Arabidopsis thaliana: one gene and its partner. The protein of the gene in region 1 interacts with the protein of each later gene in a pairwise test. Each region holds a gene or a part of one and is shown in the gene's direction. Other genes may lie near its edges.

Region 1 (6,354 bases):
AGAAAAGAACAGACTAAACATGTCGTTCTTATGTAAATTTTGCGGGAAATTAAGAGAAAATCGGTGAAAATTCAGGGAAAGTTCGTTAATTCTGCTTAAACGTTCGTTAAGTATCAATGAAAATCATAACAGAACAGAAGATAAACTTCTAGACATTAATATCATGTCTACCAAAAAAAAACTCAAATCAAATATAAGAACAAACAGAGAAAAAAGTGATTTGATTGAATGATTACATTGGAAGAGCACAACACACGGGAGAAGCTTCTTTGCTTTGGTCTACCGCCATGAAAGAGTGTTGGTAGGACACTTTTAAGATTTTCTCAGAAACCTGAAAACCTAAAAATAGAGAAGAGGATCATAGAAAGGAAATAGAAAGAAGTTAACATTTAAACCAAAAATAAATAAAAATAGAAAGAAGTTTTGAAGTTGGTGTTCGTCTCGAGACACCCGAAAGAAAAGGTTTTGTCTGTGTGTTTAAAATTTGATTTACTAATTTAATTGTTTTCCGTTGACCAATGGTATATCTACTAGTAGTTTTTTTGTTAAGCTAATAGTTAGACTCTAAAATGACTAAATCCTATATTTGGCAATATGCTTTTGATTTTCTCTTTTTGGATTGAACTCAGAGGCATTCTCTTAGCTTCATTCATTTATGGCAGAAAGGGTTAAGGGTCCTTAAAAATCGCTTCATCTGTCGGTCTCGTTATCCAAACTCATATTCCTAATTTAGGTCTTTTAAGGTTTTAAAAAACTACTTTCTTTATCTTGTTGATAAGGAATTTATAAAAGATCAAACTTGAGTAATCTAAGTAGTTTTAGTTTTACTAATTTCATTTACTGTTACTAATCAATTGTAGATATTGACATTCTTGTATATATTGCGACCTGATAGTAATTATCTTTAATTTTCTATATGTTTTTATTCAAGTAGTACTCTGTTTTGTATTTTCTTTCTTGTGAATAGAATATTTTCTGTGTGTATATGATGCAGAAAGCCTGCATTAAAACCTGCATTGGCTTTATTGCTTTGCACCGTTTATTTATTTTTATGATTCTTATTTTTGTGATTAACAAATATTATTTCAAGTGACTCTTATATAAGTTTTGGATAGTTAAACCACGGACCACAATCATGTTGGAAGTGATTGTTCAATACTTCATTGTTGTATAAGAGAGGGGACATCGATCATTTATGTAAATCTTGTTAGGTACTGTTCTGTTCTATCAATCTATCAATAGTCCCTACGCTAACTTTCTGTACCCTCGATTAAATAGGTTTTTGCTCAATGACGCTGGGTCCAAATTGTAATGACTCAGTTCAACTTCCGCGACAAAATCATTTTCATAGATTTTGATGATTTCTATAGTGGGCGGTTTTTTCTATACATCTTACATTCGCAAGAATTTGAATGATATTAGCCCATATGACGAGAAGAAGAATAATTCATTACTTATGTGGTTAATGCGGAGTGGAAACGAATATCTCATGGCCAACTACAAATCCAAATACTGTCTTTTGAATCCCTGTAGTTTTATACTATATGATCTAGAGTTTTTTTTGGATTTTGTCTCCCAAATTAGAAATTATTATAGTATCAACTATCCATCACATTTATAGAAAAAAAAAAAAAAAAAAACTATCCATCACAGCTTGGATCTTGCGGTGGGCCAGGAAAAAACACATGAGCATCGGATCTGTGGAAAACAACTGTCTTATCGGGTCAAACCTTTGAGTCAATTACACGTTACTGTGCATGTCATAAACCATCACCAAAAAGGAAAACAAAATAACAAACCATGCATCTTACTTACCCAGTAACACAATGCATCCATAATGTACATAGTATTTGTGAATTTTTTGAGGAAAGTATTAGTGAATATTATTACTATGAAATACCATGTAATTACTTCTGAATTATCTTACTTAAGAAAATTCAAGTTTAGTCAATCAACATTAAAACTATAGAGAACCCCCAACGTGTAATAATGCATTGGGAGTTGGGACTTTCATAAAATCTCGAATAAATTAATTCAAATTGTCTAATTCGTCCAAAATTATCCTGCATGGGTTTTAGCTAAGCCAGCCTAGCTACATGTACTGATTTATACAGAGATAAATATAGACATGATATATATCAATAAATTAGGAACAAATCAGAGTTTTTAGATCTAAAAACACGGTGCCTTCTCATTTCCTCCGGTGAGTTATCCAAATCTTGTGTTTCTTATCATATATCCTATATTTTATCTACATAAAAATTGATAAGTATTCGTTGAATTCAAAGGGCATTTTACGAAGAAAATGGAGACAAGAAAAGACGACATGGAGAAAAGGAACGACAAATCCGAGCCGTTGCTGCTGCCGGAGAATGGATCCGACGTCTCAGAAGAAGCATCATGGATGGTTTATCTAAGCACGATCATTGCCGTTTGCGGTTCCTACGAGTTTGGAACATGCGTAAGATTCTTTTACGACACCTATTACTTTGGAAATAAAAGATGATGAGAACCTAAGAATTTGTGACGATTAATCTTTTTGATACGAGAAAATCTGTGTTTGTTTTTTAATAGGTGGGATACTCCGCTCCAACACAGTTTGGGATTATGGAAGAGCTTAATTTATCATATTCCCAGGTTTATATTAAATTGATTAAGTCTTCTACGTTTATAGATGCATGTTTAACAATATTTTGCTTAATCTTTTTTTTTTTTTTTTCTCTATTGGAATCTAGTTTTCGGTTTTCGGATCGATATTGAATATGGGAGCAGTGCTCGGCGCCATTACATCGGGGAAGATTTCTGATTTCATCGGTCGGAAAGGGGTAAAACCTACCTAAACAAAATTGTTTTTATCTCAATATACACACAATAAATCCTAAGAAAAATATACCATTTTTACGAAATATAAAATTACTTTTTGGCTCACATGGTTTTTGTCTTTGAGACAGGCCATGCGGTTGTCTTCAGTGATCTCTGCCATCGGCTGGCTGATAATTTACTTGGCCAAGGTTATTCTTTTGGCTGAATTTCTTCAATAGCTGTTTTCAAAAAAAGCTTTAAAATAACATGGAAAATCTGCAACTAAATAGTGATGTTTTTTTTTTAATATTAGGGTGACGTACCTTTGGATTTCGGAAGATTTCTAACGGGTTATGGTTGCGGTACCCTTTCCTTTGTGGTACGACATTTTCATAAGCATTTTCCCCTTATGGATAAAAAGCCATGCATAGTGTTATAAATTAATCAATAAATAAAAATTCCTTTTTATATATGAAACTTTTTGGAAATCCACATTTGGCACCGATTTTGTGTAGGTACCGGTCTTCATCGCCGAAATTAGTCCGAGAAAATTGAGAGGAGCCTTAGCGACGCTTAACCAGGTGATGATGATGTCCTTTTATTTACTACTGCATTAGAAAATGTACTGATTACAATAGAATCAGAGCTAGCATATGTGTTGGTGTTTTCGAGATATTTGACATTGTATCACAAATTAGGAGTATTTTGTGGTCAAAAAAACAAAAATCAAAACAGTATTTAGAGTTATTTAAATCTTTTAAAAGACAACAAAAAATTATTGTTTTATTTCTGAAATAAATTGAAATTGTTAATATTGCAGCTCTTTATCGTAATCGGATTAGCTTCTATGTTCCTCATAGGCGCCGTCGTAAATTGGAGAACTCTTGCACTAACCGGTAAACTTGTTTGTGCGGTAGCTGAACCGGAAATATTTGTTGTTGGTTTAGTAATTATACAAAATTAGATGGTATAAAATTTAATTTGGGTATAACAAAACGAGGTTTAATTAACCAATTTCAGGAGTTGCACCGTGCGTGGTTCTATTCTTTGGGACTTGGTTCATCCCTGAATCACCCAGATGGCTGGTAAGATCAACGATCGTAACTCAACATATGGTTGAAATTAACCTCTTAACATTAAAACCAAAAAAAAAACTAACCGACCCAACTCATATGCATTTTGCGTTTCAAGGAAATGGTTGGCCGCCACAGTGATTTTGAAATTGCGTTGCAAAAACTGAGGGGTCCTCAGGCCAATATCACAAGAGAAGCCGGGGAAATTCAGGTACAATCTAAAACCAGAAAATCGGTTTTGTTACGTGACATGACATTTTTCGTGTTTTGAATTCCGGTTTATAGGAGTACTTAGCGAGTCTTGCTCACCTCCCGAAAGCCACATTGATGGACCTTATTGACAAAAAGAATATTCGATTTGTGATAGTAAGAATCTCTAATTCCATTCAACCGATTATAACTATTTCCCGGTTTGATTTGGTTAAATCTTATTTTTCTATCTATTCAGGTTGGAGTTGGTTTGATGTTTTTCCAACAATTCGTTGGAATTAATGGCGTTATCTTCTACGCACAACAAATATTCGTATCAGCAGGTTATAATTCGAAAATGATCTAGCAAATGTTATAATCTAACATACTCCATTTCTAGACCATTCATCGGTTTTTGTTCCATTTTTGGAGTACCAGGAGCATCCCCAACTCTTGGAAGCATTCTATACTCGATCGAACAAGTCGTTCTCACAGCACTAGGCGCAACATTGCTAATTGATCGGCTTGGAAGAAGGCCACTTCTTATGGTATGGTTCTTGTTTCAGTTTCCAATAAATCCTAGAATACCGGTTTAGAGTATTCGGTCTGACCATGCGGTACATTGCAGGCTTCAGCTGTTGGGATGCTGATTGGATGTTTGCTCATCGGAAATTCATTTCTTTTGAAGGTCAATCATATGAAAAATAAAATTAAAAAATTAAAGCGTATAATGTCAGGAAAAATATAGGACGTTTAGGTTAACCGGTTTGATTTTGGTTTTGACAGGCTCATGGTTTAGCACTTGACATCATTCCGGCTCTGGCAGTTAGTGGTGTCTTGGTAAACATCTATAAACCTAATTTTGGTTTCAATATATATGGTTTGGTCTTGGTTTTTTCCTCGGTTGACCCAAAACCCAATTTCCAGGTCTACATCGGTTCGTTCTCTATTGGAATGGGTGCAATCCCATGGGTTATAATGTCTGAGGTAATTTCAAAACAATATATAATGTTCATATTTCATTATTTTTTCTTAATCTTGTCATTACATTAATTTACTCTTTTTTTATACTTCCAGATATTTCCAATAAATTTGAAAGGAACTGCCGGAGGACTTGTCACTGTAGTAAATTGGCTAAGTTCATGGCTTGTCTCATTCACTTTCAACTTTCTCATGATTTGGAGCCCTCATGGTATATTACATTTTTTTTTGTTATTTTATATACATAACTACTAGGTGAACAATCAGTATTGATCGCATTTCTTTGTTTTTAGGTACATTTTATGTGTATGGTGGGGTATGTGTATTGGCTATTATCTTCATAGCAAAACTTGTTCCTGAAACTAAAGGCAGAACCTTGGAAGAGATTCAAGCAATGATGATGTAACTCTGTAAATATATAATACATGTTAATTTTTTATTTTTTTTATTAAGGTATAACTATCTACATGCAAACGCATACCATTATCAATATAACCGAAAGGCTTTATATGTATTTTATGAATTTAATTTTGGATTTTCAGATTTCGTAAATCGAAAGAATTATGGCATGAAAATGTTCTTTAGTCAAGAAGTGGGCATGTTCTCTCGTAAAGAGGCTTTTCTCGAATCAATCAAACACACAGTCATACCCTTCAAATTAGTGAGGAGGATATTGTTCACTACTATCCCGCCATCGATTTTTCTTCTTCTCAATTATATCATACATAATGGGCCTTACTTTTGGGCCTTCAGCTTTCAAGAGAATTTTACTCGGTAAATGAATAAAAGAGTCTTAACTCTTAAGTGCGTTTACGATTTCCGATATTCTTCTAACGTTTAGTTTGATTTGACTTGATACAGTGGAAAAATATGAACGTTGTGAAACGGTAACATTTTCTTACCGTTTGAATCTATAATATTTGATTGGAAAGAAATTTAAATAATGACTCTCTATAAATACTCCTTTCTTGACTCTGAAATCTGAATCCTCTTTACTTGGTTTATTTCTTACAAATGTCGAGTACAATCTTTTTTTAGTTCTGTTTTTCCACTGGAGGAGTTCTCTCACTCAAATTTTATCTACATTGCTCATTAGCCGAGAGAAACAAAACATAAAAAATCCTCTTACAAGGTAAAATACTCTGGTCTTGATTCTTGTATATCGTTTTGCTATTTAAACGGTTCTTGTTAGTTGTTAATAAATATACACGTTCTTCATCTTTTAAGCTGCATCTTTAATGGAGTTGAACTAAGAACTTAAATGCTCTGTTTTATACTTAGTTTATACATTGCTGTCTTGACTTCAACT
Region 2 (5,498 bases), on another chromosome or scaffold:
TTTTCTAAGACCTTCAGATGCAATGTAACACAGGCTGAGTCAGAGGTCATAATTATAAGAACGCTATGAATATTCTGAGAAATACCTGCTTGTAGACCCTCAGGTGTTTCCCTTTCTTGGGAGTAGTGTACAAAAGCTTAGGCTTTTTATCATCAACAAAAAAGGGATCCTGACCATATATTCGAAACATAGGGCGAAAGCCTCCTTGTCCACTAACATCAGGAATAAATCTCAAAATAACACAATCCATGGTGAGAGCCCTATCCAATGGAGGCCATTCAGAGACCAAATTCCTTCTTGACACGTACTGTAGATAACGAAGCTGAGAAGGAATTGGGTTCAAGGGCGAGAACAAACGCAGAAGCTCACGCGGAGCCTGCTTGTAGATCATGTCCAAAGTCTTAGACTCACCACTATACTGCTTCCTGTATATAAGGAGGGCAGCTAGCATAAAAGCTAAAACAGGCCAAGCCCCACTTTCACAATGCATTAGTAACAAGTTATTTGGCCCAAGCGAGAGCCAACTTTCACTTGACCGGAGAAAATGATGCATCACTTCCACAGGTAACAATGAGCAGCCTTCGTAGTGCCGAGGATAATCCATTATAGTCAAGCCATGTTCAGATAAGACATCAGCCATCACACTTCGAGTACCCACTTCACGGAAATTAAACACAAGAGAAGATGCTTCAGGGAAATGCTCTTGTAGTTGATTGACTACTCCTGCCATATAAACTTTGTAGTTTTCTTCTTCCCATGAATCGGTAGAGAAGCAGCAATCGAACACTGCAACACACACAGAAGAAACTTTTTTCAGTTCAATGTGTTTTTTGCCAATCATGATAAAATGAAATTTCATATCTTGATTTGTAAAACTCCCAAATTTCAGACAAATTAGCGTAAAAAGTCCCAACTTTTCAGACACTCAATCCCAGAAGACCGAACAAGTACAATGAGCTAAGGAAAAATAGATAAATGAAGCAGAGAATTGGGAGAGAAACAGACCGAAAACTCTGTCGCATATCTCGAGCAAACCATCTGGAGGCTTGCGGTAGAACAATTTGCGAAACAATGCCATTTTATCAAAGTCTTAAAACCTCTCTTCGAATTTCAAAAATCGACAACTTTTGAGTTTTCGTTTGATTACAGAATTTGTAGCGAAAGATGCTCCTTTTTGGTATGAATCTGTTAAGGTGATGTTGATTGATCTTCGAACAGAGGAAAAGGTCAGCTGGCGCGTTGTATGACGTGGATCCCACGATCAGCCGCCAACTCTCTACCCGACCTGACACGTGTCTTCTCATCTACGGACGAACCGGCATTTATCTCTCGGCCCATTTAATTCCTCTTAATGGGCTTTTCCTTTTCGGCGCACAAGTTGTGATATCTCGACTCTGTTTTGCTAGCATTGTTTCTTCATTCTCTCTAATTGCAAGTTTCAGTCTTTGAATCCGATGAAACTCAGATAGCTATTGGAGCTCTGTTTTAGCATAAGATTGCTTAAAATAGTGAGTGGCTATTTTTATCCAGAAAATGAGCTATGAATCTGATGAGTTGGTTTAAACTACATTGATGGCTCTTGTTTTTATTTTCTCTTATTTGCGGACATTAAGGCGCCAGTTTAGGGGCTAATCAGAGGAATGAATGATTCTCAATTTCCAAGGTATCTGTGACAGAGTCAAAAAAGTGTGAAAACCCCTAAAAAAGTGAATTTTTACATTAATAACCAAAACACTACTGAAATGAGAAACCACAACAACCACCCACTCCTCCACTCACCAAATCCATTGACAACTTTGGGATTTGGAAAAATTCACAAAAGGTCTGAGACAGATTCCATTTATCATATTTTTCTTATAACTCACTAGCGAAATACTTTACCTAATTATAATCTCCACATATCCCTTTTTTTGACTTTCAACGACTCTCTCTTCTCTTCCCACTTTCTCCAGTGTCCATATACGATACAACCAAAAACTCAACTCTCAACTCCGGAACTCCCCCAAACTATTCAACTCTTATCTTCTTCTTCTGAAATTTCATAGCTTTCTGACTAAAAGTTCTGATTTTTTTTGAAGCTGTGCACGTGAAAGGGATTTCAATGTATTCTAAACTATCATCACCTCTATGCCCCGTGATTCCATTATGTCTTTTCTTCTTTTCACACAGTCTGTCTTCTTTCTGAGCTTTCCCATCCAACTTTCTCCAGTCCCAGACACCACCAAGTTATGAGGTTGTCTCTATGGGGATCTCTCCTGTTCTTCTCCTTCTTCGTCAAGCATCTGACGAGCCTAGATCCCAACACCGACGCTTATCATCTCTCTAGCTTCTTCTCCGCAATGAGATTACCCAATTCTCCCCAAGCTCATACGTTTTCTTCCTTGTGTTCATGGCCAGGAGTGGTCGTCTGTGACTCTAGTGAGAATGTGTTGCATATTTCGGCTTCTGGGTTGGACCTGTCTGGTTCGATCCCCGACAACACTATTGGCAAAATGAGTAAGCTCCAAACTTTAGATCTCAGTGGAAACAAGATTACGTCTCTCCCCTCGGATTTGTGGAGTCTCAGCTTGCTTGAGAGTCTCAATCTCTCCTCCAACCGGATTTCTGAGCCTCTTCCCAGCAACATCGGCAATTTCATGTCGCTTCACACCCTTGATCTTTCTTTCAACAGCATCTCTGGCAAAATCCCTGCCGCAATAAGCAACCTTGTCAATCTAACAACTCTCAAGCTCCACAACAATGACTTTCAGTTTGGCGTCCCTCCAGAACTTGTCCATTGCCGATCTCTACTCTCCATCGACCTCTCATCCAACCGCCTCAACGAGTCTCTGCCTGTCGGTTTTGGTTCAGCTTTCCCACTACTAAAAAGCTTGAACCTTTCACGAAATCTGTTTCAGGGTTCATTGATAGGAGTCTTGCATGAAAACGTGGAAACAGTTGATCTCAGTGAAAACCGATTTGATGGGCATATCTTGCAGTTAATACCCGGCCACAAACACAACTGGTCTAGTCTGATTCATCTTGACTTGTCCGATAATAGCTTTGTCGGCCATATATTCAATGGTTTGAGTTCAGCTCACAAGCTGGGACACCTTAACCTCGCGTGCAATCGATTCAGGGCACAAGAGTTCCCAGAAATCGGCAAGCTTTCTGCGCTACATTATCTGAATCTATCAAGGACCAATCTCACTAATATCATTCCGCGTGAAATCTCGCGGCTGAGTCATCTGAAGGTTCTTGATCTCTCCTCCAATAATCTCACTGGCCACGTGCCTATGCTGAGCGTCAAGAACATTGAAGTACTTGATCTCTCGTTGAATAAGCTAGACGGAGATATCCCAAGGCCGCTTTTGGAGAAACTCGCCATGATGCAAAGGTTTAACTTCTCTTTCAACAATCTAACCTTTTGCAACCCCAACTTCTCCCAAGAAACAATCCAGAGATCCTTCATTAATATTAGAAACAACTGCCCCTTCGCTGCAAAGCCAATTATTACAAAAGGAAAGAAAGTCAACAAGAAGAATACAGGGCTTAAGATTGGTTTGGGGTTAGCAATCTCCATGGCGTTCTTACTTATAGGACTACTGCTCATACTTGTAGCCTTGAGAGTTAGAAGAAAATCAAGAACTTGGGCAACAAAGCTAGCCATAAACAACACAGAACCCAACTCCCCAGACCAACACGACTCAACCACTGATATCAAGCAAGCAACGCAAATCCCTGTGGTAATGATCGACAAGCCATTAATGAAAATGACGCTTGCAGACCTAAAGGCTGCGACTTTCAACTTCGACAGAGGCACAATGTTGTGGGAAGGCAAGTCTGGTCCTACTTACGGAGCAGTCTTACCCGGTGGATTCAGAGCAGCTCTAAAAGTTATCCCAAGTGGAACCACATTGACTGATACTGAAGTCTCGATTGCATTTGAACGTCTCGCTAGGATCAATCACCCAAATCTTTTCCCGCTCTGTGGATACTGTATAGCGACAGAGCAAAGAATTGCAATCTACGAGGACTTAGACATGGTTAATTTGCAAAGTCTACTCCATAACAACGGAGATGATTCTGCACCTTGGAGACTTCGGCATAAGATAGCTTTGGGGACAGCGAGGGCATTAGCTTTCCTTCACCATGGCTGCATTCCTCCAATGGTCCACGGAGAAGTGAAGGCTGCAACAATCTTGTTAGACTCTAGCCAGGAGCCACGCTTAGCAGACTTTGGTTTAGTTAAACTCTTGGACGAGCAATTTCCCGGTTCCGAAAGTTTAGACGGGTACACACCACCGGAACAGGAGCGAAATGCTTCTCCGACATTAGAATCCGATGTGTATAGCTTTGGAGTTGTTTTGCTTGAGCTCGTGAGTGGGAAGAAGCCGGAGGGTGACTTGGTGAATTGGGTGAGAGGGTTGGTGAGGCAGGGACAAGGATTGAGAGCCATTGATCCGACGATGCAAGAGACAGTTCCGGAGGATGAAATCGCGGAGGCGGTGAAGATAGGGTACTTGTGTACCGCCGATCTGCCATGGAAGCGACCTACGATGCAGCAGGTGGTTGGACTTCTCAAAGACATTTCTCCCAACTACTAGTGGGCTAGTTATGGGCCTCATAATGGGCTTATCACACTTAACATGAATATTAACATGGCTCTTAAGTTTGTATGTTTATTGTTGTTGATTAGAAGAAATGGAAAAACATGAAAAGAGCCGTTTATATTTAAGCAACTACAAGTACAACAACACCTTGGCTTTTATTGAGAAGAAGAGTTTTGCATAATTTGAGAATCAAAGGCAGAGAGAGGAAGAATAGGATTAGAAGAGGTCAATGTCCAAGTCCGTAGAATTCACAAGCACTCCATCATCTTCCCACTTTATATCTTTGGCATTCGGATCTTTTTCGATTATGCTCAACGGTGCATCCAGTGGTGGAGGACTCTGTATGCAATCACTCTATTATATCAGCCAACAACAAACACGGAAAAGGCTGATTGATATAAAAATAACGATTATTAGTCCTACCATGCCTCGTATGAGAGGCCAATTGATCCCGCGAAAGAAAGCATGCTGCTTTATCTCATTTGCCCCACCTTTGGATCCTAACCGACTGCTCGGATCTCTATTTAACAACGTGTTGATCAACTGTCTACCTACAAGACTCACCTGCACAAACACATATGGTTAGATTAGTATTTTTTTTACTTTGGGAAAGACACACAGGTTGTTGTTACAAGGTAGCTCACAGGGATACTGCTGGGGAAAGTGAGATCTTTGTGCAAGATGTTGGCAAATGTCTTTTGCCTATTCTTACCCCTGAAAGGTGTGCGACCATAAAGCATCTCATACAACAAGATACCTACAACAAACACACATAAAAGGAGATGAGCATATTAATAACAGTTTGTGATCAAAATAAGGTAAAGATAGTGGCAGATTATACCCAGTGCCCACCAATCAATAGCACTTGTATGACCAGCACCCGTGATTATCTCCTGAAATAATTAA

The links.
Region 2: the proteins of AT3G05150 (region 1) and AT5G58150 interact in a protein complementation assay, tested with the Arabidopsis thaliana proteins (one large-scale study listed by BioGRID).

Annotation. Positions count from the first base shown.
Region 1 is NC_003074.8:1,437,911-1,444,264, forward strand, and holds AT3G05150 (Major facilitator superfamily protein), read left to right. Parts: upstream 1-2,162; 5' UTR 2,163-2,203; intron 2,204-2,215; exon of another isoform or gene 2,216-2,288; 5' UTR 2,289-2,305; coding exon 2,306-2,461; intron 2,462-2,574; coding exon 2,575-2,637; intron 2,638-2,735; coding exon 2,736-2,825; intron 2,826-2,951; coding exon 2,952-3,011; intron 3,012-3,115; coding exon 3,116-3,181; intron 3,182-3,317; coding exon 3,318-3,383; intron 3,384-3,622; coding exon 3,623-3,698; intron 3,699-3,822; coding exon 3,823-3,887; intron 3,888-3,993; coding exon 3,994-4,086; intron 4,087-4,160; coding exon 4,161-4,241; intron 4,242-4,323; coding exon 4,324-4,408; intron 4,409-4,502; coding exon 4,503-4,612; intron 4,613-4,692; coding exon 4,693-4,752; intron 4,753-4,850; coding exon 4,851-4,904; intron 4,905-4,991; coding exon 4,992-5,051; intron 5,052-5,141; coding exon 5,142-5,256; intron 5,257-5,338; coding exon 5,339-5,447; coding exon of another isoform or gene 5,448-5,451; exon of another isoform or gene 5,452-5,587; and 3 more. Other genes in the region: RBK2 (ROP binding protein kinases 2), read right to left, coding at 237-289. UniProt on the Arabidopsis thaliana protein: Sugar transporter.
Region 2 is NC_003076.8:23,529,304-23,534,801, reverse strand, and holds AT5G58150 (Leucine-rich repeat protein kinase family protein), read left to right. Parts: upstream 1-1,961; 5' UTR 1,962-2,228; coding exon 2,229-4,586; 3' UTR 4,587-4,721; downstream 4,722-5,498. Other genes in the region: AT5G58160 (actin binding protein), read right to left, coding at 86-786, 1,006-1,078; PHOT2 (phototropin 2), read right to left, coding at 4,809-4,931, 5,016-5,156, 5,237-5,349, 5,434-5,485.